Notamacropus eugenii: one gene and its partners. The protein of the gene in region 4 purifies or fractionates together with the protein of the main gene of each other region. This does not show direct contact. Links are inferred from orthologs where the notes say so. Each region holds a gene or a part of one and is shown on either strand. Other genes may lie near its edges. The genes, in order: GSK3A, RELA, HDAC7 and CTNNB1.

Region 1 (7,850 bases), on a different chromosome or scaffold from region 4:
GATTCTGTGTGACCCTGGACCCGAAATGAGGGTAGTGATACTTGCATCATTGATTCAAAGAATAAAGCACTTTGTCTTTAAAAAAGTGTTAGGAAGGAGTTTGTTGGAAGGGACCAAGAGATCTGCTTGCTAGAGGAAAGTACTGGTGAGGAAACTACCCCTCGCTACACAAGTCAGCACAGGCTTTGTAATTTTTGAGCTCTGTGAATTGTCTGGGGCTGGCTTAAGGGACATGCCCAGAGTTACCCAGCCCACCTATGGAAGATCACATCTTTTATAACTGAATCTACTTTTACCACACTGCCAGGGACCTGGATTTGAGCTTGTTTCTATTAATTTCTTACCTCTGTACCTGTGGTCAAATCTCTCCCACTCTCTGGGCCTCAGTTTCCTCATCTGTAAATATGGGCATATTTGCATGATTGGGGCAGCTAGGTGGTGCAGTGGATAGAGCACCAGTGCAAGAGTCAGGAGGACCTGAGTTCAAATCTCACTTCAGACACTTGACACTCACTAGCTGTGTGATCTTGGGCAAGTCACAACCCCAATTGCCTCATCCTGGGTCATCTCCAGTCATCCTGATGAATATCTGGTCACTGGATTCAGATATCTGGAGGAGAAATGAAGCTGGTGACCTGCTCAGCCCTCCCTCACTCAAAACAAAGTGAAGTGCAAGTCAGGTCATCATTTTTCTGATGGCATGGTCTTCTTCGGCAACGAAGAACAAACACACATGTCATCTAAACCAGTGACGAGTCAAGAGAGTGGTTTGCAACTGGGGGGTACCCCCAATTTTCTAGCTGTGTATGCTGTGGTGAGTCATCTCTGCCTTCTCAACTGGCTTTTGACTTTTGAGACTTGGAGCAGCTCTTGGCACATAGTTGGTGCTTAAAAGAAACTTAATAAACTGGCAGCCCCCTTTTAACTACATTCTGTGACACACTTATTAGGTAGGAGAGGATGGGAAAAATAGGTACAAATGGGGAAATCGTGTCAGAGAAGGGAAGGATGGCTAACACCAAAGTAGGAAGAGCATGAGAGCTGGCTGATAAGGAAACTGAGGCATGAGAGGGCGGACTGGGCCACTGCAGTCTCCTGGGTGATGTAAGTCACTCCCTGGGGTGGGGGCCGCTGGGGGTGGAGGCGCCAGGCTATTTCAGGAAGTTGTCACCAGGCAACGCAGATGCTGCTGGGAGGGTGGTGGTAGTGGGGGGGGGGGGGGCCGGAGGAAAGGATGTCGTCACCTTCAGGAGGGGGCTGGGACCCTGCAGGGTGGAGACTTTGGTTTCCACAAATTCTCAGTCCCCACTGAAGAGTGGACTTGCTCATTGGTCCTGATCCCAGCCCCAAGGGATCCCCTCAGCCTGTCCCTGAGACGGTGGGAGATGGAGGGTGAGGTGGCCCCTTTACAATTTTAGCCTTCTCCTCTGACCCTAGAGAAACCGGCTCCCTTCATCCTTTCATTGAGTTCTCCACCCTCTTCAATGAGTACAATATCCTGGTAATTAAGCCTTTCCACCCTCTTCATTGGTCCCCAAGCCCATACTCATCCTGCCCCCAGCCCCCATCTCCTATCCATCTCCAAGGAACGGACCCTTCATCTTCCCTGGTCCCTATCTCCACTTAGCACTCCTCTCCTCACTGCCTGCACCTCCAGCCCTTATGGAACCTCTTCTGGCTTCCCCATCTCCTCTCCTAGAACCAAGTATCCTTTTGAACGGAGTCGCTCTTCCGAGCCCTTTAAATACACCTTTGTCCTGTCTCCCTTGTCCGAGCACCCCCTCCTCACTGAGCCCCTAACCCTGGTCCAAGCACCCCCTCCTCACTGAGCCCTTAACCCTGGTCCAAGCACCCCGTCCGCACTGCGCACCCCCTCCTCACTGAGCCCCTAACCCTGGTCCAAGCACCCCGTCCGCACTGAGCACCCCCTCCTCACTGAGCCCCTAACCCTGGTCCAAGCACCCCGTCCTCACTGAGCCCCTAACCCTGGTCCAAGCACCCCGTCCTCACTGAGCACCCCCTCCTCACTGAGCCCCTAACCCTGGTCCAAGCACCCCGTCCGCACTGAGCACCCCCTCCTCACTGAGCCCCTAACCCTGGTCCAAGCACCCCGTCCGCACTGAGCACCCCCTCCTCACTGAGCCCCTAACCCTGGTCCAAGCACCCCGTCCGCACTGAGCACCCCCTCCTCACTGAACCCCTAACCCTGGTCCAAGCACCCCCTCCTCACTGAGCACCCCCTCCTCACTGAGCCCCTAACCCTCGTCCAAGCACCCCGTCCGCACTGAGCACCCCCTCCTCACTGAGCCCCTAACCCTGGTCCAAGCACCCCGTCCGCACTGAGCACCCCCTCCTCACTGAGCCCCTAACCCTGGTCCAAGCACCCCGTCCGCACTGAGCACCCCCTCCTCACTGAACCCCTAACCCTGGTCCAAGCACCCCCTCCTCACTGAGCACCCCCTCCTCACTGAGCCCCTAACCCTCGTCCAAGCACCCCGTCCGCACTGAGCACCCCCTCCTCACTGAGCCCCTAACCCTGGTCCAAGCACCCCGTCCGCACTGAGCCCCTAACCCTGGTCCAAGCACCCCGTCCGCACTGAGCACCCCGTCCGCACTGAGCACCCCCTCCTCACTGAGCCCCTAACCCTGGTCCAAGCACCCCGTCCGCACTGAGCACCTCCTCCTCACTGAGCACCCCCTCCTCACTGAACCCCTAACCCTGGTCCAAGCACCCCCTCCTCACTGAGCACCCCCTCCTCACTGAGCCCCTAACCCTCGTCCAAGCACCCCGTCCGCACTGAGCACCCCCTCCTCACTGAGCCCCTAACCCTGGTCCAAGCACCCCGTCCGCACTGAGCCCCTAACCCTGGTCCAAGCACCCCGTCCGCACTGAGCCCCTAACCCTGGTCCAAGCACCCCGTCCGCACTGAGCCCCTAACCCTGGTCCAAGCACCCCGTCCTCACTGAGCACCCCCTCCTCACTGAGCCCCTAACCCTGGTCCAAGCACCCCGTCCGCACTGAGCACCCCGTCCGCACTGAGCACCCCCTCCTCACTGAGCCCCTAACCCTGGTCCAAGCACCCCGTCCGCACTGAGCACCCCCTCCTCACTGAACCCCTAACCCTGGTCCAAGCACCCCGTCCGCACTGAGCACCCTCTCCTCACTGAGCCCCTAACCCTGGTCCAAGCACCCCGTCCGCACTGAGCACCCCCTCCTCACTGAGCCCCTTTCCCCTTTAAAGGATCTGCCCCCGCCCCTGCCCTGCTAAGAACTGTAGCAGAATGCTCACGCAGCGGCCCCGCCCCCTCCCGGACAACCTTGGGTAACGGCAACTCACAGTGGGCCTCTCCCCGCTCCCGTCCCGCCCCTAGAGGGGCGGAGCCTTCAGAAGGAGCCGCGTGGCCCACTTCGGAACATGCGCATACTTTTTTCTGGTTGACGTCCGACAGGGGGCAGTGCAGCTTGCCCAGGCTGGGAACTACAACTCCCAGCAGCACAAATTTCAGCTTTGGACTTTGATTTTTTACGTCCGCTACCAACAGTCTCGCTGGAAAATTACAGATTTCTTCAATGCCCCTGCTATCCATTAGGAACGCCACCTCCATAAGCGTGGAGACCTACAAATCCCAGAACATCTGGCTCCGAACTGAGCTCTCTGGATGCTTACTCGACCCTAGCCTACTGTCCGCTCAGGGAGAACTACAAATACCAGAAACCTGTAGGACGAGGTGGGCGTCGGGTCAGGCTGGCACCCACGTGAGGACTCCAATAGCCAGAATTCACTGGGGTTAGGAAGTGCTGAAAGTTTCTAGCTTTTCCGGAGACTCAGGTAAAGGTATACTACAGAACTTCATTTCCTCTCAGCATCGAGAGTGAGTGTTGGTGTACGTGCATCCGTATGCATGAGAGGAAGAATGAGAAGAGTCAACTTCCCAGTATTCCATGGGTGCGCGGGGAGGAATGAAAACGAAGCACGGGGGAGGAAAACGGGGACTGCATTTCCCAGCATTCCTTAGGGGTGGGGGAGGAGCTGAAGACTAGAGCGTTCCTTTTCTCGGCGGTCGTTGCGCGAGGGCGTTGGTTCCCAGCTCTTATCGGTTAAAGGAAGACTCCACTTCCCAGAATGCTTTGTTATTCGCTGACCCCTCCCCCCTACGAGGGTGGGTCCATGACGTATACTCGAGCGCCTTCATCATACAACCTGCAATGACTCCACTGCTTCCCCTTTCTTTGCAACTAATTACCAAAGAAGAGAGGAGGCGGGGAGCGATGTAGATGTCCTTTCTCTTCGCGGCCGGCATCTCCTCACTTTTTTTCTCAGGGTCTTCTTTGGGCCCGTAATTTGACAGGAGGAGGGGGTGGAGGTGATCTCGAACTCCATCTCCCACGATCCTCTGTGGCTTTAGGTGCCTAAATGTTGCAATGAATTATATTTCCGCGACTTCGCCGTCGCGGTCCGTGACGTAAGACAAGACAGTTGGGAGTTTCTGGGAGGGGACTACTTGTCCCGGCATTCCTTGGGGCTCCCAAAGCTCTTCAGGGAGCCGAACTCTTTAGGCGTCTTCAGCGCCCTCGGCTCACCCAGCACATCGAGAGGGCGCATGTACGCTGTTTCCCAGGATTTCCTAGGCTTCTCTGTTGGGCCAGCTCCCCGAGAGCGCGTGGAGACTGCATCTCCCGACATCCTTCAGGGCCCGATCTTCGGAGCCCATGACGTTGCTTCTGTGGTGGAGCGAGGACTCCATTTCCCAGTGCGCTCCGCGGGGTCAGGCCGGCGGTGTGAGCGTGCGCGAACTGCATTTCCCGGCGAGCCCCGCGGCGCGGAGCCGGAGCCGGAGCCGCAGCCGCAGCCGGAGCCGGAGCCGGAGGCCGGAGCGGCCGCGGCCTGGAGCGGAGCCGGACCCCAGCCCAGCCCGGCCCGGCCGGGGCCCCGGGGAGCAGCGCGGCGGCGTCTGAGGCGCCATGAGCGGCGGAGCCCCGGGGGGCGGCGGCGGCGGCGGCAGTAGTGACAGCATCTCGGGCCGGGCCCGGACCAGCTCGTTCGGAGAGCCAGGGCCGGCGGGACCCGGGCCGGGGCCGGGCGGAAGCGGATCAGGCCCCGGACCCACCGTCGGACCCACCGTCTCCAAGGCCGGCGGTCCGGACCCGGGCCGGGGTCCGGCCCCGCCAGCCTCGGGTGCGGGCCCCGGCCCGGGTCCTGCCCCCGGCCCCATTCCTCCCGGTCCCGGCCCCGGCGGCTCGGGTACCGGCGGCGGTGCGGGGGCCGTGAACGTGGCCTTGCCTTCGGGCCCCGGAGGCGGCGGAGGCGGCGGAGGTTCGAGCTTCCCACCACCCGCCGTGAAGCTGGGCCGTGAGTAGGGGCGGGGGCTTCCCCTGCCCTCCTTCTTCCCCACAGCCCCCTCCCGCGCTCGGGGCCACCCCGTACTTGGCCCGGGGTCCCGGGGTCGCGACCCCCCGGCACACCCTGCCCCTCTGCAGGGCTTGGGGAGGGGCGGGCGGGCAGCCACCGGCCAAGGAACCCCAGCCCTGGGGAGGCACCGGGCCGGGGTGCCCCACTTTCCATAACGGAGAGTGGTCCTGGGGGTCACGGAGTCCTCTTCTTCCCCCTAATCCCCCGCAGGTACCACTAAGGGGGCTGAAGCTGTAGAGGTCAAAAGTCACCAGCCAGAAGTCTTGTCTCAGCCTTTCCCCCCCAACAGTAAGGTGGCCCTAGGGACTGGAGGTTAAAGGTCAGGGGCCCTTCCTCTTTCCCGGACTGAGGAGGGATGCTGAGATCAGCTCCTCATCTCCCCCTTACACAGACCCCAGGAAGGGCAGAGGGACTGGACCCAGAGGCTGAATGTGACCTCCCCTACCCCTTCTCCAGCCCCCCAGCAGGGAGTCCCCACATTTCTCTTCTCCAGGTGACACTGGGAAAGTGACCACGGTGATGGCGACCTTGGGGCAGGGGCCCGAGCGCTCCCAGGAAGTGGCCTACACGGACATCAAGGTGATCGGCAACGGCTCCTTCGGTGTCGTCTATCAGGCCCGCCTGGCCGAGACTGGGGAGCTGGTGGCCATCAAGAAGGTGCTGCAGGACAAGAGATTCAAGGTACTGAGTGCTGCAGTGCGCATGTCTGGACCCACACCCTAGAGATCAGGGAGGGCACCGGGCAGATCTGAGAGCCCCAACACAGTCAGGCCAAGGACTGGTGTGCTGTGGGCTTGGACTTAGTGACAACAAAGGGAGGTGGGCTAGGGCTAGGCTGGGATTCTCTTGGGCACCCCGCTCAAATCCTACTCCCCACTGAGAGAGACCAGAATGCAGAGGAAAGTGTTTGGAGGCTGGAGCCTGGTGAGGACAGGGGACTGTGTCTAGAGGAGCAGGAGATCCAGGCTCCAGGAGCACCCAGGCTGGGGGCGGGGCTCTGGGCTGCCAAGGGGTGGGGTTGGGAGGGCAGGACCTGCAGAGGTGGTGAACTGAAGGTCGAGGTCCTCCAAAGGAGGGCTGGCTTCTGCCTAACATGTTCTAGGGGATCCAAGAGGTCAGGCCTGAGGAGAAGGAGGGAAAGAGGGACAAGAGACAGGGGTGGGGGTTGGTGAGAGGAGACGAGGGCAGGATCAGGGTTCTAGAGCAGCTAGGGAGCCCAGGAAAGAGATGGAGAACTGGAGAGGAAGGCGGGACTCCTCTGACCCTTGACTGGTACAAGAGAGAGCTGAGACCTGGGAGGCGTTGAATCAGGGTTTGGAAAGGGGACCAGAAGAGAAGGGAGAGCAGGTTTTTGGATTGGCTCAGAGGGGCCGACCCCAGGGCAGCTCTGGTGTCAGGGGTCATGAGTGGCCAGATCCAAGCAGGGATGAGGCTGGGATCTGGGCCCCAGGGGGAGAGGCAGTCCAGAGGCAAGACTCAATTCTGGGGCCCAGGAAGGGCATGGTACCACCCCAGAAAGGAAAGGGAGAAGGGGTGGGGACGCGGTTGGCCTGAGCTCCCGTTGGGAGAACAAGGGCTTTGGTGCTTGAGAAGGAGGAGACTGGAAAGAGTGGGGAATTGGGAAGAGACAGTTTGACCTAGTGGAAAGAGAGGTGAATCTGACCTGAGAAGACCCAGATTCAAGTGCTGTTTGGGCCTCTGTGTGTGTGTGGCTTTGGATGAGTCACTTGTCTTTGGGCCTCAGGGAGGGAGCTGGGCTGGCTGCCTTTAGCTCTGGGTCACAGGCCTATAACCTCTAAGATTCTTTCCCTTGCTAAACCCTGTAATTTCTGGTATTTGGGGAGGGGGGAAGTGGGCATCAGAGGAGAGGCTTCATGGAATATGGGGGTCCTGTGGTGGGCCTGAGAGGGAAGGAGGGAGATGGGAGCTGAGCCAGGTATAAGTTGGGGCCCAGAAGGGAGCAGGAGCTCTGGTGTCTCAGGGACAGGGGAGGAAAGGTCTGAGGCAAGGTCCCAGGGAGGAAATGCAGGTTGGGCAAGAGTGGGCCAAGACCACAAAAGAAGACAAGTCTGGGAGGGGGAAGACAGGGGCTCCACTGCCCCCTGCCCCCAGGCTCAGCTCTGCCTTCTTTCCCCAGAATCGGGAGCTGCAGATCATGAGGAAGCTGGACCATTGCAACATTGTACGGCTTCGCTATTTCTTTTACTCCAGTGGAGAAAAGGTGAGTGAGGCCTAGAGGCCAAGCAGCTCCTCCCTTCTGGCACCTCTGGCTCTGGGGAGCGCCCGGGCCCCCTCCTCACCCTCTTTCTCTTTCCTCATGGCAGAAGGACGAGCTTTACCTGAATCTGGTGCTGGATTTTGTGCCTGAGACCGTTTACCGGGTGGCACGGCACTTCACCAAGGCCAAGCTGACCATCCCATCCATCTATGTCAAGGTGG
Region 2 (7,297 bases), on a different chromosome or scaffold from region 4:
GAGCAAGAAAAGGGATTAATGGCCTGTGGCCTTTGACTCAATGATCTAATTACTGAAACTCCACAAAAAAGCTAAAGATAGAAATGGCAACAGGTCGTGCAAAAACCAAAATATTCATAGCAGCTCTATAGCTTTCACAGAGTAGAGGCTCATCAATTAGATATGGGTTAAAAAAATGACACATTACTATACAGTAAGAAATAAACAAAAAAATTCAGAGAAAAATGGGAAGATTTGTGTGAACAGATGCAGAATGAAACAAGCAAAGCCAAGAAAACAAGAGATCGCCTGAAGCAAGCCAAGGCCACAGTAACTGAGCAACTAATGAGGGGCCAGCAACAGAGGAGTGGGGGGATGCGGACACAAAGGAAGGAAGAAAGGGAAATGACAGTGACATCGAAACAAGCAGCAGCACAAAAAGCATTTGAAAAGGATCCTGAAGCACTGGTGTAGAGCTGGCCAGCAAGAGGGAGAAGCCAGGGAGTGAGGCAGGGAGGCATGGGCAGGGTGGGGTGGGGCTGCTGGGGGCCCTGGTCATGCTGGCCTAGGAGCCTCTCACCATTGAAGGGGTTGTTGTTGGTCTGCATTCGATGGGCAATGGCCTGCTCCAGATCTCGCTTCTTCACACACTGAATCCCCAGGTTCTGGAAGCTAACACCTCACACCTGTCAGCCTGCCTGGCACCCCAGGCCCAGTCCAGCCCTTGGCCATCCTCTCTGATCCTCTGCCCCACCCGAAGCTCGGTGCCTCATTTCTACTGCTCTGTCCTCCCTACCTTGTGGGGTCCTTCTGGTTCCCCCTCCCCACGTAGGAGAACCCCTGCCCTCGCCCTGCCCTGACTCCCTCGCACCTGCTGAGCCTCCTCACCTATGGATGCAGTGGTCAGGGCAGAGTTCAGCCTCATAGAAGCCATCTCGACAATCCTTCCCCACCAACTCATGAGGGTGAGGTCGGTGAGGGGGCTCCTTGGTCACCAGGGAGATTCGCACAGTTCCTGGTCCTGTGTAGCCAATGACCTGGGAAAGGAATGGAGGCTGAGCCACTCCCACCTTCGGAGAAGATCAGTGAGGGGTCCCAAACCCATCAAAGGGCCTCTGTCCCTCTGGGAGCCTGCCACCTCCTGCCCTCTGCTGGAGGCGGAGGGTGTGCTCACTCCCAGTCCCGGCACCCCTGCAGTGGGGGGTTCTGAGCACACCCCTGAGCCCCGAGCCCCCTGCAGTGGGGGGCTCTGAGCACATCCCCTAGCCCTGAGCCCCCTGCAGTGGGGGGCTCTGAGCACACCCCCGAGCCCCGAGCCCCCTGCAGTGGGGGGATCTGAGCACACCCCCGAGCCCCGAGCCCCCTGCAGTGGGGGGGGTCTGCCCCCGAGCCCCGAGCCCCCTGCAGTGGGGGGCTCTGAGCACACCCCTGAGCCCCGAGCCCCCTGCAGTGGGGGGTTCTGAGCACACCCCCGAGCCCGGAGCCCCCTGCAGTGGGGGGCTCTGAGCACCCCCCCAGCCCCGAGCCCCTGCAGTGGGGGGCTCTGAGCACCCCCCGAGCCCGGAGCCCCCTGCAGTGGGGGGATCTGAGCACACCCCCGAGCCCCGAGCCCCCTGCAGTGGGGGGGGTCTGCCCCCAAGCCCCGAGCCCCCTGCAGTGGGGGGCTCTGAGCACACCCCCGAGCCCCGAGCCCCCTGCAGTGGGGGGCTCTGAGCACACCCCTGAGCCCCGAGCCCCCTGCAGTGGGGGGTTCTGAGCACACCCCCGAGCCCGGAGCCCCCTGCAGTGGGGGGCTCTGAGCACCCCCCCGAGCCCCGAGCCCCTGCAGTGGGGGGCTCTGAGCACCCCCCGAGCCCCGAGCCCCTGCAGTGGGGGGATCTGAGCACACCCCCGAGCCCCCTGCAGTGGGGGGCTCTGAGCACACTCCCGAGCCTGGAGCCCCCTGCAGTGGGGGGCTCTGAGCACACTCCCGAGCCTGGAGCCCCCTGCAGTGGGGGGCTCTGAGCACACCCCCGAGCCCCTGGCAGTGGGGGGCTCTGAGCACACCCCCGAGCCCCGAGCCCCCTGCAGTGGGGGGGGTCTGCCCCCGAGCCCCGAGCCCCCTGCAGTGGGGGGCTCTGAGCACACCCCCGAGCCCCGAGCCCCTGCAGTGGGGGGCTCTGAGCACCCCCGGCCCCTGCAGTGGGGGGCTCTGAGCACACCCCCGAGCCCCGAGCCCCTGCAGTGGGGGGCTCTGAGCACACCCCCGAGCCCCGAGCCCCTGCAGTGGGGGGCTCTGAGCACACCCCCGAGCCCCGAGCCCCCTGCAGTGGGGGGCTCTGAGCACACCCCCGAGCCCCGAGCCCCCTGCAGTGGGGGGCTCTGAGCACGCCCCCGAGCCCCGAGCCCCTGCAGTGGGGGGCTCTGAGCACCCCCGGCCCCCCGGCCCCCGGGGCTCACCTTGATGGTGGGGTGCGTCTTGGTGGTGTCCGTGCTGCGCTCCCCGGGGATGCTGCCCGCCGAGCGGCCCTCGCACTTGTAGCGGAAGCGCATCCCCCGCTGCTTGGGCTGCTCGATGATCTCCACGAAGGGGCCCCGGGCCGGGGGCGAATCTGGGGGGGCGGAGGGGGGCGCGCACACCGCGGGCTCAGGACCCCCAGCCGCCGGACCCCGGGCCTCCCCCCGCCCCTCCCGGCCCCCCCCGCCCCGCCCCCACTTACCGGAAGCGAAGATCATGGGTAACAGGTCTGAAAAGGGGAGGGGGCGCGAGGGAAATCGAGTCAGGCGCCGCCCTCCGCCTCCCCCCCACGCCCCGCCCCGGCAGGGGGGCGGCCGCACGGACCTCCGGCCGGCCCGCCCGGGCCCCACCCGGCCCTCCCCCTCCCCCGGTCAGAGGTCAGGCTCACCCTCCATGGCCAGGGTCCTGGGGGCGGGGCCGGGGTCGCAGCTGGAGCCCCCGCGGCGCGCGCCCTACGCCCGAGCCATTCGCCAGAGGCGGAAATGCGCCGCGCGCGCTCGCGGCGTCACTGCTCGGAATGCGGGGCCGCGCCTGCGCACCAGGGCCTCCCGGGCCGCGCGCGCCCTGCGCGCTCCCGCTAGCGGGGCGGGGCGGCCCGAGTGCGCAGGTGCGGGGAGGTGGCCGCCGAGCAGGGCTAGGCCCGAGGGCAGGGAGGCGTCGGACCCAGACCGGCCCCTCCGCGCTCCGTTTGGCGTCTCCGTTCAGCTCCCCAAATCGCCTTTCCCAAACGTTCCGGCCGAGGACCTGGCCACCACCCAAGGCGGGGTGGGCGGGGCGGACAGGGAGCTGCCCTGATTGGCGGAGCGTGAGACGCCGCTGCGTGCTTGCGTCACGCGTCTTCCAGAAGCACGTGGTCCCAGGACGCTCCGGGAGGGGCGAGAGGAGGGGTGGGCGGAGCCGGAGTGTAGGGGAAGCCCGAGTTTATGAAGCACCTACTGTGTACTGTGGAACGAGGGGGAGGCGCCTTGGGGGGCGCGAGCAGAGCAGAGGGTCGAGGCCCCTCCCTAGTGCCGGCGAGAGAGTCCGATGTCCGAGCGCCAATGAGGAAACTCCCTCCCTCGTCCGCCAGTGTAGGCCTGGCACCCGCCTCTCCGATCAGACCTTGGCCAGCTCGCTTCTAGCTACTGTCCTGTTTCTCTAATGCCCTTTGTGGCTAAAGCCCAGGGAAAGGCTGTCTACACCAGATGCCACCACTGACTCTCCTGGAAAAGGCCGTCTACACTAGGCGCCTCCACTGTCTCCCCTGGGAAAGGCTGTCTACACCAGATGCCCCCACTGACTCTCCTGGGAAAGGCCATCTACACTAGGCGCCTCCACTGACTCCCCTGGGAAAACCTGTCTACACCAGATGCCCCCACTGACTCTCCTGGGAAAGGCCGTCTACACTAGGCGCCTCCACTGACTCCCCTGGGAAAGGCTGTCTACACCAGATGCCACCACTGACTCTCCTGGGAAAGGCCGTCTACACTAGGCGCCTCCACTGTCTCCCCTGGGAAAGGCTGTCTACACCAGATGCCACCACTGACTCTCCTGGGAAAGGCCGTCTACACTAGGCGCCTCCACTGTCTCCCCTGGGAAAGGCTGTCTACACCAGATGCCCCCACTGACTCTCCTGGGAAAGGCCGTCTACACTAGGCGCCTCCACTGACTCCCCTGGGAAAACCTGTCTACACTAGATGCCCCCACTGACTCTCCTGGGAAAGGCCGTCTACACTAGGCGCCTCCACTGACTCCCCTGGGACAGGCTGTCTACACTAGATGCCCCCACTGACTCTCCTGGGAAAGGCCATCTACACTAGGCGCCTCCACTGACTCCCCTGGGACAGGCTGTCTACACTAGATGCCCCCACTGACTCTCCTGGGAAAGGCCATCTACACTAGGCGCCTCCACTGACTCCCCTGGGACAGGCTGTCTACACCAGATGCCCCCACTGACTCTCCTGGGAAAGGCCATCTACACTAGGCGCCTCCACTGACTCCCCTGGGAAAGGCTGTCTACACCAGATGCCCCCACTGACTCTCCTGGGAAAGGCCGTCTACACTAGGCGCCTCCACTGTCTCCCCTGGGAAAGGCTGTCTACACTAGATGCTCCCACTGACTCTCCTGGGAAAGGCCGTCTACACTAGGCGCCTCCACTGTCTCCCCTGGGAAAGGCTGTCTACACTAGATGCCCCCACTGACTCTCCTGGGAAAGGCCGTCTACACTAGGCGCCTCCACTGTCTCCCCTGGGAAAGGCCGTCTACACTAGGTGCCTCCACTGACTCCCCTGGGAAAGGCTGTCTACACTAGGCGCCTCCACTGACTCCCCTGGGAAAGGCTGTCTACACCAGATGCCCCCACTGACTCTCCTGGGAAAGGCCGTCTACACCAGGCGCCTCCACTGTCTCCCCTGGGAAAGGCCGTCTACACTAGGCACCTCCACTGACTCCCCTGGGAAAACCTGTCTACACCAGATGCCCCCACTGACTCTCCTGGGAAAGGCTGTCTACACTAGGCGCCTCCACTGACTCCCCTGGGAAAACCTGTCTACACCAGATGCCCCCACTGACTCTCCTGGGAAAGGCCATCTACACTAGTTACCTCCCTCCTCTCTCAACCCCCTTACAGTCGATCCAGCTTTTGCCTTTATCATTCCACAAAAACTTCTCCCTTAAGTTACTAATTATCTCCTTAGTGGCCACATCCAGTGGCCTCTGCTCCACACTCATTCTCCTTGACCTCTCTGGAGCCATAATCACTCTCTCCTCCTTGGTCCTCTCTTACCTCTAGGTTCTTGGGACCCCCACCCCTTTCTCCTCCTACTTCTTTGACAACTTGTTCTCTGTCTCTGTTGTGAGATCCTCCTCCATATCCCGTGCTCCAACCTTAGGTATCCCACAGGGTTTTAAATCAACATATGCCCAAACTAAACTCATCCTCCTCTCCCCACCCCACCTTCCCTATGCCATGGTCCTCTTGGAGAGGGAAGGACAAGCAACCACAGTGACCACCTTCCTTGTTAGTGCAGAGGGCAAAAACATGCTCCCAGCCCCAGTCATGGATTCCTCATTCTTTTTCACACACACAACCCATATCCAATATGATGCCAATTTTACCTTTGTAATCTCTCTCCAATACACCCTTTTCACTCTGATGCCACCACCTTCCTGGGGCAGACTCTCATCACCTCACACCTGGACTATTGCAATGGCTGCTCAGAGAGGTGCAGAGGGTGTCTGCCTGCCTCTAATCTTTTTCCACTCCACTCCAACTGCTAAAGGGATTTTCCTAAAACCTAGTCTCACCATGTCACTCCCTACTCAGTAAACTCCAGTAGCTCTCTGTTGCCAGGAGGATCAAATACAAAATGCTGTGTGTGTGTTGGTCCTTCGTTGCCAAAGAAGACCATACCATCAGAGAAATGATGACATGACTTGCACTTGACTTTGTTTTGAATGAAGGAGGGCTGTGCAGGTCACCAGCCTCACTTTTCCTCCAGAGCCATCTGAATCCAATAACCAGATATTCATCAGGATGATTGGAGATGACCCAGGATGAGGCAATTGGGGTTAAGGGACTTGCCCAAGGTCACACAGCTAGTGAGTGTCAAGTGTCTGAGGTGAGATTTGAACTCAGGTCCTCCTGACTCCTGCACTGCTGTTCTATCCACTGCACCACCTAGCTGCCCCAACAAAAATGCTGTATTTGGTATTCAAAGTCCTTCATAGCCCTTTCCAGCCTTCTTACACCTTACTCCCCAATGTGTACTCTTCTCTGCAGTGACATTGGTTCCCAGAGCGGTACCCCATCTCTTGGATCCAGTCACTCCTTCTAGCTGCCTCCCATGCTTGGAACGTTCTCTCTCTCTGTTTTCTGGCTTCTTTTAGGTGCCAACTAAAATCCCACCTTTTACCAGAAGCCTTCTCCCCCCTTAATTCTGGTGCCTTCCTTCTGCAGTTGTGTATAGAGCTTGTTTGTATGTGTTTGCACGTTATCTTCCATATTAAATTGTGAGCTCCTTGAGATCAGGAACTGTCTTTCATCTCTTTTTTGTATCCCCAGTGCTTAGCCACAATCAGTGCCTGGCACATAAATGTTTATTTACTTACTGATGTCCTATCAAAACATTTGTGGTAGCCATCTACGCCATCTATGCCATAGCAGCTGCCTAGGCTATCTAGACAAACATTCTAGTGTCTTTACAAGGGTGATGAATTCCTGATAGGGGAGAGTGAACACAGTTTCTTTTCTTAGGTCTCAGGGGTCAAGTAATTGTAGGTTTTAGAGACAGCAGCTACGTCCAGAGTGACTGTAGCCCTTAGCAGAATTTATCAGTCATCAGTCCTGGCTGATTAAGGCTTGTTAGAAATAGCAGCTGACACAACACCAGAGGGCAGAGATTAGTAGGACAGACCCACAATGCTCAAGGCCTTTGCAGGGCACTAGATAAAGTTTACAAATTTTTTCTCCCAGTAGCTGTGACTCGCAGGATTGAGGAGGCCAGGCCAGCTTGGCCAGGATTGATAGCACCATGGACTGCTTTGGCCATGTCTTTAGATCACTTGATGACCAGGCCAATGTCATCACATCTAAAGCCTTGACCAGCTCCAGGATCATCTTCAGAACCTGATAAGAAAACGTTTATAACCTCAGACTTCTTCATGGGAAGGGATGAGAAATGCTTCTCTAAGGACTTCACATCCTTGACTAGTTTGGGCCAGCTTGAGGACAGGAAAATTCTGTGTTCGTTAGGAGTAGAAACTCCAACTTAGAATCCTAAGAGACTATGCCACGCGTTGAGATGTGCTAGCGAATTGGTTAGGTTCTGCCAGGACATGAC
Region 3 (7,709 bases), about 180 Mb from region 4:
TATGTGGCAAAGGAATAATATAGCCCCTTCCAGGTGTTTGAAAGTCCTTTTGTCCCCATTTTGGAATGTTCAAAAAGTTCCCCTTAGTCATGGTGTGGCTTCCTTGCTGGGCCCCTCGTAGAGCTATAAATCTGTGTCCAGTCTGTCTATTAACCTATCTAGGAAACAGACAGGAAGTCCCAAATCCTTCAGACTCTGAAGTTCACAAAGTCCTCCAGGGTCACACATCTAGCAAGTAAGTGTCTGAGGCAGGATATGAACTTAGTTTCCCTGACTCCAGGTCCTAAGCTCCATCCACTGTACCGCCTGATTGCCTCCCTTCCTGGATATGAGGTCCCCTACATGCTGTGTTTCCCCACATTGCACTCTTTTTCCAAATGCATTGACCAGTTTGGGGTAGCAGAGGAAGAGGTGGTTGAATGTGTACGTGGTGTGGGGGGGGGGAGGTGTGAGGGGCCACAGAGCTACTGGCCACCCCTCTCCTGACCCCAGGGAATGGGGAATTCCCAAACCTCTTCTAAACTCAAACCTCCCGAAGCACTCCCTCCTCCCAACCTCTCGGCTGAGGATCTTACCTCATACTCATCCAGTTAAAACAGTCATTCACCATCAGCATCCTTTTCTCTTCTACTTACATTACAATCCCTTATCCTAATACCCAACTGGCTCTCCTTTTACTTGATTGCTTCCCACGATCACCCCCACCCTCTCACTAATCTTTTTTGTTGTTCAGTTTCTTCAGTTGTGTCTGACTCTTTGTGACCCCCATTTAGGGTTTTCTTGGCAAAGTTACTGGAATGGTTTGCCATTTCCTTCTCTAGCTGATTTTACAGAGGAACTGAGGCAAACAAGGTTTAAGTGACTTACCCAGGGTCAAACAATTAGTGAATGTCAGAAGTGGGATTTGAATTCAAGTCTTCCTGTCTCCAGGCCCAGCACTCTATGTACTTCATCATTTACCTCCCGAAGTCCCATATACATCTCCAAATCAACGTCCAAAATGGAACTCATTATTTTTCTCCACCAACCCATTCATATTCTGAACTCTCAAATTACCATTAAGTGAAGCACTATCCTTCCAGTAACCCAGGTACAAATCCTAAGTGTCACCTTTAACTCTTTACTCTCACTTACTTGACATATCCAATCTCTTGACAAATTTCCCAAATATGCCCCCTTTAATCACTAGCTACCACCTTATTTCAGGTTTTCATCACCTCTTCACTTTTAATTGTCCTCCCTGACTCAAGCCTTTACATAATCAACTAAAGTGATTTTCCTAAAATTTAGATCTGATCTTGCCATCACCATATTTAATAAACCCCAGAGGTTCCTTATTACTTCTAGGATCAAATATCAACTGCTCTGTGTGATTTTCAAAGCTCTTTACAATCTAGTTGCATCTTCCTTTTGCAGCATTCTTAAACATTACTTCTCTGGAGACACTCTTTAGTCTGGCCATACCAGCTTATTTGCCATTCCTCACACACAACACTCCATCCCTCTCTCACACTTACCTGGAATGCACTTATTCTTGTTTCTTTCAGGTCTCAGCTCAAGCGCCTTCTATATAAGACCTTCCCAACTCGCCCCAGCTGCTAGGAGCTAGGCAAGCTGCCTTCCCTTCCAAAGTTACTTTGTATCTGATATGCTTTGTATGTGCTTGGCATATACCCATGTGTGTTTTGCAGATGGTGATATGAGTATATGTTGTTTCCCCTGTTAAGCTGTAAACTCCTTTGAGGCATTTTACTTTTTGTCTTTGTATCTCCAGCGTCTTTAGCATATTAGACCCTCGATAAACATTTACGAGATTGACTGATCCTCCAACCAATAACTTAAAGTTCCTTCAACACTCTGGTCACCCTTCTTTAGAGATGATCCAGTTTTGTCTGGCTCATTGTAGGAGCTTAATAAATGCTTGTTGAACCGTCTTGATGCAGACCTAGATTTGTCTATAGTATCCCAGAAATAGTCTAAGCAGGATAATGATAACAATTCACATACCCTTCTCCAAACAGCCAGTACATCTTATTATTATTCATCTAAGTTCTTACAGCTGGGCCTAGGGGGCTAGGCTACTGTATCCATTCCCTTCACCACTAAGGGGCATTTCTCAGGTTTGTGTCTATGCATACTCTTGGCACAGTCCTAGCAAAGCCTGGGCTCCAATGAGAGAAATTAGCCTTTTTTTCTCACTATTTGGCTCATTATACCTTACACACATGTGCATGTGCGCACACACACACACACAAAACTTTGAACCCTGAAATGGATTTGCTTAAAGCTTAGGTTTTGGCTCATGTCTAGCTATGGTGTCCTCAAAGGAGGGAGAGTAGAAATATACTCAATGTGTAATATGAATTAGAGGTACATGGAATCATCCAATCCCAGACATATCCATCTCAAGATCAACATTCAGAAAGGAAACACTAAGTGCAAAGAGCATCCAAGAGCCCTGAGTCAAGCTTGTCTCATTTAGACCCCCTTTTCTAGCTGATATATAGAAGCAGTCATCGTGAGGCTAGGGTAGGGGAAGAGCTCCAGCCCCTCCCCCATCCTGCTAGCAAGAGGTTCCTCATATGCTCATCAGGAGGAAGGGAAGTGAGGCCAAGAGCAGAGTCATTCCCTTTTCAAAGGTCTTCTGAATCATTGGTTCTTCCTACTTAGTGGCCAGTGAAGGGATTGCTTCTTTCTCTCAAAGTGGGAACCCTTCTGCACTGAGTCCTACATAGTAGGAAGCAGCCTTTGTCATTCCCGAAGCACCCAAGTGCTGAACTAGCATTCGTGATCAGTCAGCGTAAGGAAGGGCAGTTTTGTCTATACCATGTTCAGCCCTATCTAACATTCCCATTTGTCAGGTGAGGAAACTGGGGTTGTGATTTGCTTATAGTCACAGAGCTAATAATATCTAGTGGGATTTGAATCTGGGTCTCCTGACAGCAAGTCCATAGGTCTTTCCACTATATCACACAGCTCCATTTGGGCACTTTTCATGTAGTCTTAAATATGAATTAGTTGTTTTGGCCACCTCACCACACTGCTGACTCACTGTGCATACAGTCCACTAAAACCCCCAGGTCCTAGGCAGGCTAAGAGGGAGGATTCTGTTGCAGTCATCCAATGTGCAAAGTGATGAGGCCTTGGCCCTAGGCTATGGCTATGGCAACAAGAGGAAGAATTGTGTGTGGGGGAGGAGGGTACCCTCTCTGCAGTGAAGAGGTTCCCAGTATTACGATCCTATGCTAAACTCAAACTTGTCTCTCTTAGGACTAGTCAGGTTTCTGCCTATAATGTGGGCATCCCAAAGAACTATGGCCATAGCACAGACCTTTCTTTTGGGCCTCAGTTTCCCTTTCAGTTGTGCAGACTCATGAGGATGGTGTAGCTTCCTAATCCTGATAAGAGTTTCAGGGACACTCCCTGCTTTCAAGTTTAAGGCCCCGAACACACAGGAGAGGCCAAAATTGCTTCAGAGAGTGGCTGACACACCCTATCCCAGAAGTGGCTGTATTTCTAGCTAAACTGGGGACCCAGCCAATGGCCAACAGAGAATAGCAGGGAGGTCCTTAGCTCCTGATCCCTGACCCCTGACTCTGACCTCCACTTCCAGTTTGGAGAGGGGGTTAGGAGTTTCTGTGAACAGGCTATCCCTGCCCTAGATTTATTAGGGGAGGGAGGACTAGAGGCAGCTGCATTCCGACTCACAGATGGGAACATTTCTGCAATCCGCTGTAATGCACTGGGAGACACTGGGCACATTGCTGAAGTTTGACTCATAGGGACAGGGAGGGTGGAGGGGGGAACTGGAATTGGAGGGGGAGGAATGAGAAGAGAGGGAAGAGAAAGAGGGAAGGAAATCCCTTGGGAAATTCCTTTTTAAAAAAAAAAAAACAACCCAAAACTTTCAAAATAAACATTGTTGTGACCCCCTTTTCTTTTCTAGGATCAGGCAATTCCCTTCTGTTCTCTTTACAGGAAGATCGGAAGGCGGTGGGGGTGAGTTCGTTAGGCAGTGATTCAAATCAGATCTTGAAACTTTTCTCCTGCAAAGTTCTGTTTGTAGCTGGAATTCCAAGCGTGGGACTCTGCTTGTAAATTACCGTGTGTCTGTGTTCGGGTGTGTATGTCTGAATGTATCTATATGTATCTTTTTCTTCCTTTCTCTGCAGGTGTCTATCTATTTCTGCGTATTGCAGTATGGGTGTGTGTGTTATGTATGTGAACAGGAGTCTGGGCGTTTCTGGACGCATCTGAGTGCCTCTTTTCAGGGGCTGCTTTCTTTTTGTGCGTGTCACTGTGTTCCTGTGTGCATCCGTGCGGGTCTGGGCCTCCGAATTTTGTGCCTTCTTCTCGGTCAGCTGTCTCCGGGTGTCATGCCTTCTCCGCTGTGTAAGGATCGTCAGTTTCTGCGAGTCTCTGTGCTGTGTATGTCTGTTTCGTGCCTCGGTGTGGCGCCTGTGTCTGGGCTGTGTGTGGACCCGCGCAGCTCTGGGCTGTGTGGTGCTGGGCTGCGCTGGGCTGGGCTGCGCCGGGCTGGGCTGGGCTGCGCTGGGCTTCTCGGGGCTGGGCTGGCTGTGTGCACCCTCCCCTCTCCTCCCCTCGCCTCTCCTCCCTTCTCTTCTCTTCTCCTCCCCTCCCCTCCCCTCCCTCCCCTCCCCTCCCCCTTGGCCCGCTCTCAGACTCAGATAAAGCATTTCCTTCCATTGTCATCCTACCCGGACGGCCCCGCTGCCAGGGCCCTCCCCCTCCCGGCCCCCTCCCTTCCTCTCCCGGTCTCGCCGACTCTCTGCAGCCTCTGGTGCCTCGGGGGATGTAAGGCCGGCGCCCCCGACCCCCCGCGCCCGCCCTGATTCCCACCATGAGCCCCCCGCTCTGAGGGCCCCAGCCCCTGGATGCACAGACCCGGTGCTGGTGAGTACATCGCCCGCCCCGGCCCCGGCCCCAGGTCTCCGCCTCCTCCTCCCTGCCCTGCGTTGGCACGGTCCCGGCCCCCCACCGCACCCCGAGCCCGTGGGCCCCCCAGTGCAGCTGGGCGCAAAGCTGGCGCTGCGCTTTCGTCCCTCTCCTCCACGGTTGGGGCCCTTGGATCGTCTGGGCCCCACGGGGAGGGGGGGGGAGTAGCTCCAGGTCGTGGCCGGTTCCAGGGCCGTGGGGCTCCCGCATTGGCCCGCCCTGGGGGTAGCGGCGGATCAGAGGAAGGAGGCCCGCGGGCTGCTTTCCCTGCGCCCTGCTGCCCCGACTCCCATATCCCCCACTCCTGAGCCTGGAGAAGGAGTGCCAGGCCCGTCCAGGGAGCTGTGTAGGGGGCCGGGCGATGCACCCGTGCTGGCCATTTGTCTTGTGCTGCCTTCCTGAGTCAGATATCGCCTCCCCCCAGGCCATTGGCCCTGGGACCGGGGCACACACCCCCTGCAGTGTGGGGTACAGCCGCAGACTTTTAGAGGGACCTTTAAGAGCATCTAGTTGAACCCTCCTCCTTTTACAGAGGAGGAAGCTGAAAGCCGGAGGAATTAGGGCATGAGAGAGCTTTCTTGAAGACCCTTCCTCTTCCCTAAGCCCTCCCCCCTCCCATCTTACTCAGTAGTGTTTAGAGACCTGTGTTTGAAAGTGCGAAGTGAAGGCACCCCCTGATAGGTTCTGGGGCAAAGCAGGTGGAGAATAACAAATTGTATTTGGGGGATGGGGGAGTGGGGGGGGCGCGACTACTCTCTGGTGCTGGAGCGGTACACAGACAGCTGCATTTCCTTCCAGAACACAGTGTTTTCAGACCGGGAAGCCTTCTGCAAAGGGAAAGGGAGAGTTTCCTCGGGCCTAACTCAGCTGAGCTGCTCATATTTTTTTTTCCTCGAGTCCCATTTATCATATGATCCCCTGCACAACCAAAATTCATGTCGTCTGCCCTTCTCTGTTGTCCATCCTTCTTGTCTCTCCTTTTCCCCTCTCCATTAAGAAACTCCCCATCCTAGTCCTCCATTCTATGTCTGCCTGAGACTTTTTGATGCTGTGGCTTTTCTTTTAATTTATATGACAGGAGAGAGGTGTTCTGGGAATTCAGCTTCCTTAGGGAGTCATCTTTAAGCCCTAAATCTGCCCCTAGTATAAACCTAGGAGCCTTCTTAGGTTTTTCCCAAGTTGGGGAGCCAGAGATCACAAGGCCTCTCTTCTTGTAATCTTCCCTCAGGGCTCCCAATAGCCTGAGCTCCTTTATCATCCAGGATTCTCTTGAGGGACTCTCATTCCTGACCACTTAGTACCTTCTCTGCTCAGCCCTGAAGCTGTAATCTTCTTGGCCCTGTCTTGGAATTCTGGTCCCCATGCTCTTCACCTTGTCCCTTGTCTTGTCTGCCATTCTGTTATGTAAAACAATTTGCCACCACCCCCTTCAAAGCCTCTCCGGTGACTAGAGCCCTGGGACATCATCTCCTTCTGACCAAGGAAGGCACAGAACAAAACTGAACTCATGGGACGTCATCCAGTGAGGCCACAGTAGGAATTCAGGGATTTTGAGCTAACAGGGATTCTCTCACTGCCCTTTAGCCCCAGATAGAAGCTCTGTCACCATCAGAGTTGTCCCACAGTATCATTCCCAGGACCAGCCTCCTCAGTATGGTATTTTACTGACTAGATGTCAAAGATTATCTATGAATGTGAACGAACCCATCATTGGTTTGTGTGCTCGTATCTTCAGGGTTGAACCTGTATCATATTTTTGTCAGTTAAGCACCTACTATGTGTCAGACATTGTATTAAGTCTAAGGATACAAAGAGCTTACTGTGTGTGTGTGTGTGTGTGTGTGTGTGTAGGTGGGGAGGGTCAGGTAGGGGAAATGGCACCATGTCTTGTACACAGTAGGCACACAAAATTTTGTTGTTTACAGCAACCAAGCCTTGAAGGGGGATGCCCAGGATGGTGAGGAAGACTTTTTTCCAATTCTGCCATCTTAGTTCTCCTAAGCAACTATCCCTTAACATCAAGGCTTAATTTTCTCATCAATGAAACAGGGAGAAAAATTGGGCTTATTGTTTGCTGCAGATGAGGCTAGAATTAGCCATGCTAATCTCACCTCCAGTGTCTAGTTTGGTGCCATTATGGGCATTCTGTAACTGTATTTTGTTCTTGACTTGGACCTTAGGGAAGCCAGGTCTGGGGAATCTTACTTGCCAACCCAGGAAGTGGGAAGCTCATGCTAGGAGAGCAGGAGTTGGGAGAAGTAAGGATCTTCTTGGTGCAGCCACAGTGAAGGCCCAGGAGCATTCCTAGAGACATTCCTGGGAAGAGGCACATGCAGCTCTAATCTAGAAGAATGGAAGTGAAGCTAGCCCAGGGTTAACTCACCCCACAATAACAGAATCATGGAATTTTTGAGCTAGAAAAAAGCACCTTAGCAATCATCTAGTAGTTAACCTCCTCACTTGACAGATGAGGAAATTGAGACTCAAGGAAATGAAGTGACTTGCTTAGCCTTATACCATTAGCAGAGCTAGAGCTAAAACTTCCTGACTCCCGTGCCAGGGACCCATCTCTTATACCACACTGCTTAGGGCCTTCTCATCCCTAACCTAGTCCTTCTGTGTCCATATTCCCTTCTCTTCCCTGGCTTCCCCAAGGCTCAGAACCTTATCAGCCTGTTCTGTACCCTTTCTGCTTACCCTCTCCACAACCTCAGCTTGGCCTCAGTCGTATTCTAGACTGGAGGTTGGGGAGG
Region 4 (6,957 bases):
ATAGTAGTGAAATGCCACAAACACAATATTATTCTTTTTAAAATAAAAAACATGTACGTATATGTATATACACATATGAAACCTTTCTCTCGGTTCCGTAAAGAAAACACAGATCTGAAGCGAAAAATCACTTCTCACATCCCAGCCCTGACCAAGAGGACCAGACTTTCCCCCTTCCCCACGGATTGCTAGCAAATAGGAACCCCTCAAACTGGCCCGCAAAGTCCACGGTTCTCAGAACTACGAACCCTTCTGGGGGAGCGGAACCTCCACGTTCCCCGCCGAGCTCTGCAAAAGCTGAGGCTGGATCCAGAGGCGGCACCCCCACCCCAAAGTAAGAAAGCCCCCGCACGATCCCCGACGCTCCCACTTCTCAGGAACATCGGGACTCTGCCCCCCGCAGAGCGCGCCCCCCATCTCCTCCAGAAGCCCCTGCCGCCCAGGATACCCCTCCCTCTCTTCCAGAGGTCCCTGCCCCCTCCCCCTCCCCGTAGCGCGCCTGGTCCACCACCGAGGGGAGGCTGCCCGCCCCCGACCCGGCCCCGGGGCTCCCTCCCGGCGGGCCGCGGCCCCTCGACCCCCCTTCCCGGAGGCGGGCAGCCCCATCCATGCGCCCCTCGCCGGGCCGGGGCCGGGCCCGCCGCAGCCTTCCGAGCCGGGCCGGGCCGAACCGAGCCGGGTCGGGCCGGGCCCGCCAGCCACGCCACCCCGCCCCGCCGCCCGTCCCTCCCTCCCACTCGGGGCTCGCGCCTCCGAGGAAGTTTCGCCCCGGAGAGCGAGCGCACAAGCACCTCAGGGGAACGGCCGCCGCCCGCCGCCGGGGTCCCTTCGCCTCCGCACTCCGGCTGCTGCCCCGCCGCGCTCCGCTCCGCTCGCTCGACGTCGCCCAGAGCCGCCTCAGCGCCAGCGCCCTCCGCCTTCCGCCTCCGCCGGCTCCCTTCCACGGGATCCTCCTCCTGCCACGGGCCGAGAGGCTTAAAATGGCGCCGCACACGGAGCTCTTATACGGCGCGCAGGACCCCGTGTATCCTGCCGCCGAGGCCGCAGCAGCCGCCGGCGCCGCGCGGAGCGTTCCACCGCGCGGGGGAGGGAGCGAAGGAGGGGGAGGGGCGGGATGGAAGACGGGGAAAATAGTCCCCACGCCCTGCCGCGGCAGAGCCAGCCGGGAGGCGGCCGAGAGGACGCCCGCGGGGGCCGGGGACTGCCGCCTCGGCGCTGCCCACACCCCCGGGCCCCGAGCGGCGGCGGGAGGGGCGGGCGGAGGCCGCGGCCCCGCCAAGCGTAGCCACAGCGTGGGGGTGCAGTGATCTGGGGAAGGGGCGGGGGTGTGATGAGGCCCGGAGCCTCCTCTTCCCGAGGTGGGAGCCCGAGACTAGTTCTTGGGAGGAGGGGGAGGGGCAGCAGGGGGAGGGCGGCCTTAAAGGGGCAGCGGTGGCGTGACTGCGGCCCCCCCTCCCATGCACACTCGCCTTCTCCTTCTCTACCCCCCCAACCCGCGCGGACCCCGGCACACAATGGAAACCCAATCCCTCCCCAGCTGCCCCCCTCCACACTGTCGGGCCTTCCTGGCCCCGGCCCGTCCCCTTTTCCCTGCAAGGTCTAACTTTAAGAAGAAATAAACGCACCCGCCATCCTCGGGCCTTCCACCCAATGGGAGCGGGAGGCTCGGGCCGCGCGGGGTCCGCGGGGCACTCCGCGCCCCCGGGGTTCTGGGGTGGGGAAAATACTACTTTAACCCCGGGGCCCAGGGGCGCGCCCGGCGCCGGAGCCTAGCGCGCGCTGCACTCCCCGCGCCCCATCCCGAGGAGCCCGGGGGCGCGAGGGGGAAAGCCGGGGGAGCGGGAGGAGGAGGGCTCCACGGACGGGGGCGCTAATGGGGGTCCCCGCTAGCGCCAGGCCCCCTCAGATGCTCTGGGAAGTTGAGCCGCCGGAGCGCAGGGGAGGCCCGGAGGCGGGGGTGCCAGCGACCCCCTCCAGCCCTCCTGCGCTTTCGGGGATGCCTCGGGGGCCACGACCCTCTTCTTTTCCTGCCTTCCCCCCTTTATTCCTCTCATCCTCTCCTTTGAAGCTTTTCCTTCCTTTCGTCCTTTATTCCAGTCTCCCTTTCCTTTAAACTTTCTACCCTCCTTCATTCCTTTTCCTCTCTTTTAAAGCTTTTTTCTTTCTCTTCCTAAGTCTTCCTTTCCTTTTCAACTTCCTTCCTATCTTCCTCTCCTTTTAAGCTTTCTTTTCTTTCTCCGTCTCTCAAGTCTTTTCTTTCTCTTTCTCTCTTCTTTCTCTTCTCTCTCTCTTTCTTTCTTTCTCTCTTTCTTTCTTTTCATCCAATCAGACATTTCTCCGTAGACAACTGCTTAGCATCCTTCACTTTTCCCTGCGCCCCTGCTCCATCTCTCTTGCGAGTCCCACAGGCGACCCTCTTTTTCTTGGCCGAACAAGATGTGACCTCCCCAAAGTGCACTTTCCACCACCCCGCCCCACCCGCCAGACTGCTTGATGGAAAAAATGTTTGGGTATCTGGGAGTGAGCAGAGAGACTTGCGGGGCGCGAGGGCTGTCTCCAGGCTCCGGCCCGCGCCCTGCTGCTTCAGCTCTCGCTGTGCCAAGGATGCCAGGCTTGGCCGGGGTGGGGGTACATGCCCCATGCCCTCCCCCGGCTACTTCTGCTCGCTTTGGGCCGAGGGAGCCAGGTTAGACGGAGAACCCGACCCCCGACGCCCCTCTTGCCTTCTCCCGGGGTTTGCAGGCTCCGCGGCCGCCGGGCAGGCTTTGCTCCCCCCGCTTCCCCTTCTAGTGAATCCTAATTCGGTGGACGAGGGGAAGGAGCGTCCGAGGGCAGCGCTCCGGACTCCAAGGAGGCCGACAAAAGGAGCGTCTAGGCTGAATTCGTACCCTGCGTCCTCAGCCGGCGTTCTGCCACCAGTGCGCACATACCCCAGCCAGCCTCCGCAGCAGGCCAGGCAGAGGGGAGGAAGGCGGCTTCTACCTGCCCTGGGAGGCGCTGGAACGCGGAAGGTGCTTGGAGGGAAGTTGGGTTCCTCCTTCCCTCCCGTGGGACTGGGAAGGCGAGAGCTGCATATCCGGACAAAGAAGGGCTGGGGCCTCACGCCCCCTCCCCGCTTGGCCGAGCCAGGTGGGCACCAGCCTCTCAAGGTCTGGCTAACACTTGTTCAAGGGCAACTGGTTTCTCGATTTGGGTCCTTCAGGTGTGATTTAGGGTGTTTCTCCACAGCACAATGCAAAAGATAACTTTCGCCTTTAGGGAAATGTATCGGTGTAGACTGCCAAGATAGATAACTCCCAAAGAATTTCTTTAAAAAAAAATTGCGCCACTTGAGAAGCCCATACTGATCTAATTTACCAAGTGATTACTCAAACACAATTTAATCTAATTATTACATATATGTGTAAAAATATCCACACATGTAATAATTATATATTACATATAAATGATATAATTGTGCCTATGTAATGTTCCCTGACAAAAAAAAAAAGACTATCTTGGGAAAATCCTGCGGAGGCCCCTTCATCCTGAAGCTGATTTTATAAGATGTTCTTTTTGTAACGGTTTATTGATATTTTCTATCCCACTGTTATTTTTCCAATACCCCCCCAAGAACCCTCCATTTTAACCAAAAAGAAAAAAAACAACTTTTAAGTCAAATCCAAGTTCAACAAACCCATAGGGCATCATGTCTGACCTGTAATACAGAATACAATACAATATTCTGTTCCCACAGACTACCAGTTATCTATAAGAATGAGGGAAAAGTACTTCATCTTTCAGCCTCTGGAACACAGATTGGATAAGACAAGTATTCTTTTTCTGCAGATATGTATAATTTGGTGAGGCACACCTTCAAAATAATAACCATTTTCCATTCCTACTTTAGAGACATGAGTTATTATTTAAATAATCAAGAAGTCCTAGTTCACTATGTCTTTACTGATAGCAACTATCGAAGTATAATTTAGGATTATGGATTAACTTAAAATAATCTTTGAATTACATTTGCTTTCCTAAAAATCATTCACAAAATTCCATTTTTTACTTTAGTTCAACTGTGCTGAGAAATGTGTTGTCATGTCTATGGCTTTATTTGTGGGTTTAGGGGTGTGTATGTGTGTGTGTGTGTGTGAATTTTTGTAGTGCCTTTTGTCTAAGAAGTTCAAGTATGTAGTTTACAAATATCCCCGCCTAATATGCAATCTCTACTTATTTTCAAACAAAATCTACTAATCCCCTCACATACACACACCCTCCAAAAGACCTATCTTCTCTAATTTGTTCTGACAGGCTGAAATTAGGGGCATTTTCAAGGAAAAAAAATGGAGATGCATTAGTAATCTAACAATGTATTTGTCAAAGCTTGATCATATGATAGAATGACTTTTCTTTTGTCTTGAGCTTTTTTCCTCATTTAACACAGAGACAAGCAACAAAGGTTATCTTAGTGGCTATATAGAATAGCTGTAATTAATGCATTCACAAAGAATGGGCCTTTGCGTATAGGTATTACTCTGGAAATCTAGTTATTCACTTTCCCGGGATGAATTCATGGTATAGTTTTTGTAGTTTCACAGTCTTTCAGAGCTGATTTGTTCTTTAAATAAATCTGTTTTGTGACTGCACTAAAGACAATTTTGCCACATTCTCTTTTTTTTATGTCAAATACCATTCAGACAAATATATGTATGTTTCTGCAATGGAGAAAGCCTAACTACAAAGATGATATTCAGATAATGACTTAAATCCCTTGCTTAGAACAATATTCTCCCTGTTTGTCTGTGTGACTTTGCAGGGAGTTCTATAGATTCTTCTCATAATATCACAGATGCTAAAGAACAGATAAGCATAAATCATAGATTAAGGTAAACTTAATTGGTCATAATTCCAGTGGAGCAAAATATAAAATATAGCTACTCCTTTAAAATTTTTTAAAGTAGCAAAGTTCCTGACAATTTAAGACAAATCAAACATCCTGTTCTCAAATCTTTGATCCTAAATCCCAGGCTAAATATACACATTATGATTAATTTGCTTAATTATGATTTAATTTTTTAAAACTACTGAATAAATACCAAATGATTTTTAAAAGAAATGATGCCATTCACATGTTTATCATTTTTTAAATGCAGCAAGCTATTACATTGAAAGAAATGGCTTTCTTTCCTTTTATTGCCATTTAAAAGCTAAAAAACCCACACACTTACACTTTGTTCTCCAAAGAGGTGCACAAATGGATGGTCTGCTTCTGCAAGTTGAGTATTTTAGTCCAACTGCAGAAATATGGTTTTCAATTCTTGAGCCTAAATAAACACTGATTTTTAATATAAATCAGAAACATTGCAGTGACACAGTAAGTGATTATTTGTCTCAATCAAACTCCAATTATGAAAGAACCATTGTTCATGATCACAGTAAAACAAGTTAGTTGAATTTGACAGTAGCAGTTCCAATTATTTCCTTGAAAATATGAGATGAATAGCGTGTGGAATGAAGATAGATATTGTTATCATGGTAGGGAGAATATCAGGGATCAAAATATAAGATTAGTCAGTCAAATAAGTGATACTAAAATGTTATTGTTATTGACTATGCACATTTGTTTCAGAAATACACATGACTCTCATTTTTTACTCACTTTTCTGTTCTAGAGTCAGTCCCTTGTATTTGACATAAATTAATTCAATTTGTGAATCTTCAGCAGCCGTTAAGTTCTGAATTTCAGGGTGTGTTTATAGAAACCAAAAATGTCTCCAGCTGATTTCACCATGGAGGCATTAGTCATCGTAATATCTGATTATTGGCTTATCAAGCAGTAGTTATAGTGGAACATGAGTGTAAAGCTTTCTGTTTCTAAAACATGTGTCTTTTAATCACCAGTAGGCAAATGAATAACCAGAATGTTTTGTAAATAAAAGAAATAAACATTAATTCAGCCAACATTATGAGCAAAAGACCCGTTTTGAGCCTGGACAGTTAAATCTCATAGAAATAAACATCCTATCTATCTATCTATCTATCTATCTATCTATCTATCTATCTATCTATATTTTAAAAAGACATCTAATTCTTTACATTGTATACCTTAAGTCAGTGCATATTTCCAGTATTTAGTCAGACTTACAGAGGAAAGAATTATCAAGTCAGAAATCAATAACACCAGCAACCAAGGCGTGACCTCCTTCTCGCCTGTCTTCCCCAGGTCCTTACCTATGGGCAGCACTCCAACCCTAATGTCTAAATGAAGAAGGCTAAGAATACTAAGATTCAATGCAAAAGTAAGACCATATCCTGGCTTTGCCAATAAACACTTGAGCCTGCATGGAATAGAAGGCCAAGTTTCCTTGTTGAAACTGCCCTTGTCCTTGCTTTATGGCAAAACTGAAAACATTAAGCAACCATCAGGATAAGCTTTTCGTTGAACATATCACCAACTGGGCTACGTATGGATCATGAGTTTTGATTTGCAATACATCATCTCAGGGCTCAGTTTAATCTTTTGATTTATTTCCAGCTGAGCAGACTAAGTAGTTGTAAATACCCTTTATCAAACTAGACTGTTGACTACACTCATACACAGGAGTAATCTAAGAATCCACTGGACAAATTCAATGAGGAGTTACAGTGAAAACTTGTGTTTGGTCTTCACCGTAGGGAGAAAGAATCCTAGTGGTGGTGATGGTAACTGGGATGGCAGTAATGGCGGCAACAGCAATGGCAGTTCTATAACCATACAAAGAAAACACAGCACATTTCATTGCTTCATGCCCCTAGTTCTTCAGCAAAGTGAAACAACAGTCCTAGTCAGACCCAACGAGTAAATATTTATGACCACCACTGACAGTAGAGGATGAGCAATGGATACATCGCCTAAGATATATAAAACACAAAATGGTGAGGATTTTTGAGTATCTGTAAAGTGCCAGATAAATATCATCCCATCCCTTAGAAATC

The links.
Region 1: the proteins of CTNNB1 (region 4) and GSK3A purify together in Homo sapiens (affinity purification with mass spectrometry; 3 studies listed by BioGRID and IntAct, with this or other methods). This does not show direct contact. The link is inferred for Notamacropus eugenii from reciprocal best matches to the Homo sapiens genes CTNNB1 and GSK3A.
Region 2: the proteins of CTNNB1 (region 4) and RELA purify together in Homo sapiens (co-immunoprecipitation; 3 studies listed by BioGRID and IntAct, with this or other methods). This does not show direct contact. The link is inferred for Notamacropus eugenii from reciprocal best matches to the Homo sapiens genes CTNNB1 and RELA.
Region 3: the proteins of CTNNB1 (region 4) and HDAC7 purify together in Homo sapiens (affinity purification with western blotting; 5 studies listed by BioGRID, with this or other methods). This does not show direct contact. The link is inferred for Notamacropus eugenii from reciprocal best matches to the Homo sapiens genes CTNNB1 and HDAC7.

Annotation. Positions count from the first base shown.
Region 1 is NC_092876.1:26,014,930-26,022,779, reverse strand, and holds the start of GSK3A (glycogen synthase kinase-3 alpha), read left to right. Parts: upstream 1-4,838; 5' UTR 4,839-4,963; coding exon 4,964-5,351; intron 5,352-5,621; coding exon 5,622-5,699; intron 5,700-5,904; coding exon 5,905-6,092; intron 6,093-7,548; coding exon 7,549-7,632; intron 7,633-7,735; coding exon 7,736-7,846; intron 7,847-7,850. UniProt on the Homo sapiens protein: Constitutively active protein kinase that acts as a negative regulator in the hormonal control of glucose homeostasis, Wnt signaling and regulation of transcription factors and microtubules, by phosphorylating and inactivating glycogen synthase (GYS1 or GYS2), CTNNB1/beta-catenin, APC and AXIN1.
Region 2 is NC_092873.1:18,442,427-18,449,723, forward strand, and holds the start of RELA (transcription factor p65), read right to left. Parts: upstream 3,017-7,297; 5' UTR 2,872-3,016; coding exon 2,865-2,871; intron 2,706-2,864; coding exon 2,679-2,705; intron 2,571-2,678; coding exon 2,419-2,570; intron 1,017-2,418; coding exon 868-1,016; intron 652-867; coding exon 560-651; intron 1-559. UniProt on the Homo sapiens protein: NF-kappa-B is a pleiotropic transcription factor present in almost all cell types and is the endpoint of a series of signal transduction events that are initiated by a vast array of stimuli related to many biological processes such as inflammation, immunity, differentiation, cell growth, tumorigenesis and apoptosis.
Region 3 is NC_092874.1:219,421,711-219,429,419, reverse strand, and holds the start of HDAC7 (histone deacetylase 7), read left to right. Parts: upstream 1-4,696; 5' UTR 4,697-4,895; coding exon 4,896-4,914; intron 4,915-7,709. UniProt on the Homo sapiens protein: Responsible for the deacetylation of lysine residues on the N-terminal part of the core histones (H2A, H2B, H3 and H4).
Region 4 is NC_092874.1:44,339,036-44,345,992, reverse strand, and holds the start of CTNNB1 (catenin beta-1), read right to left. Parts: upstream 3,004-6,957; 5' UTR 2,889-3,003; intron 1,239-2,888; exon of another isoform or gene 792-1,238; intron 1-791. UniProt on the Homo sapiens protein: Key downstream component of the canonical Wnt signaling pathway.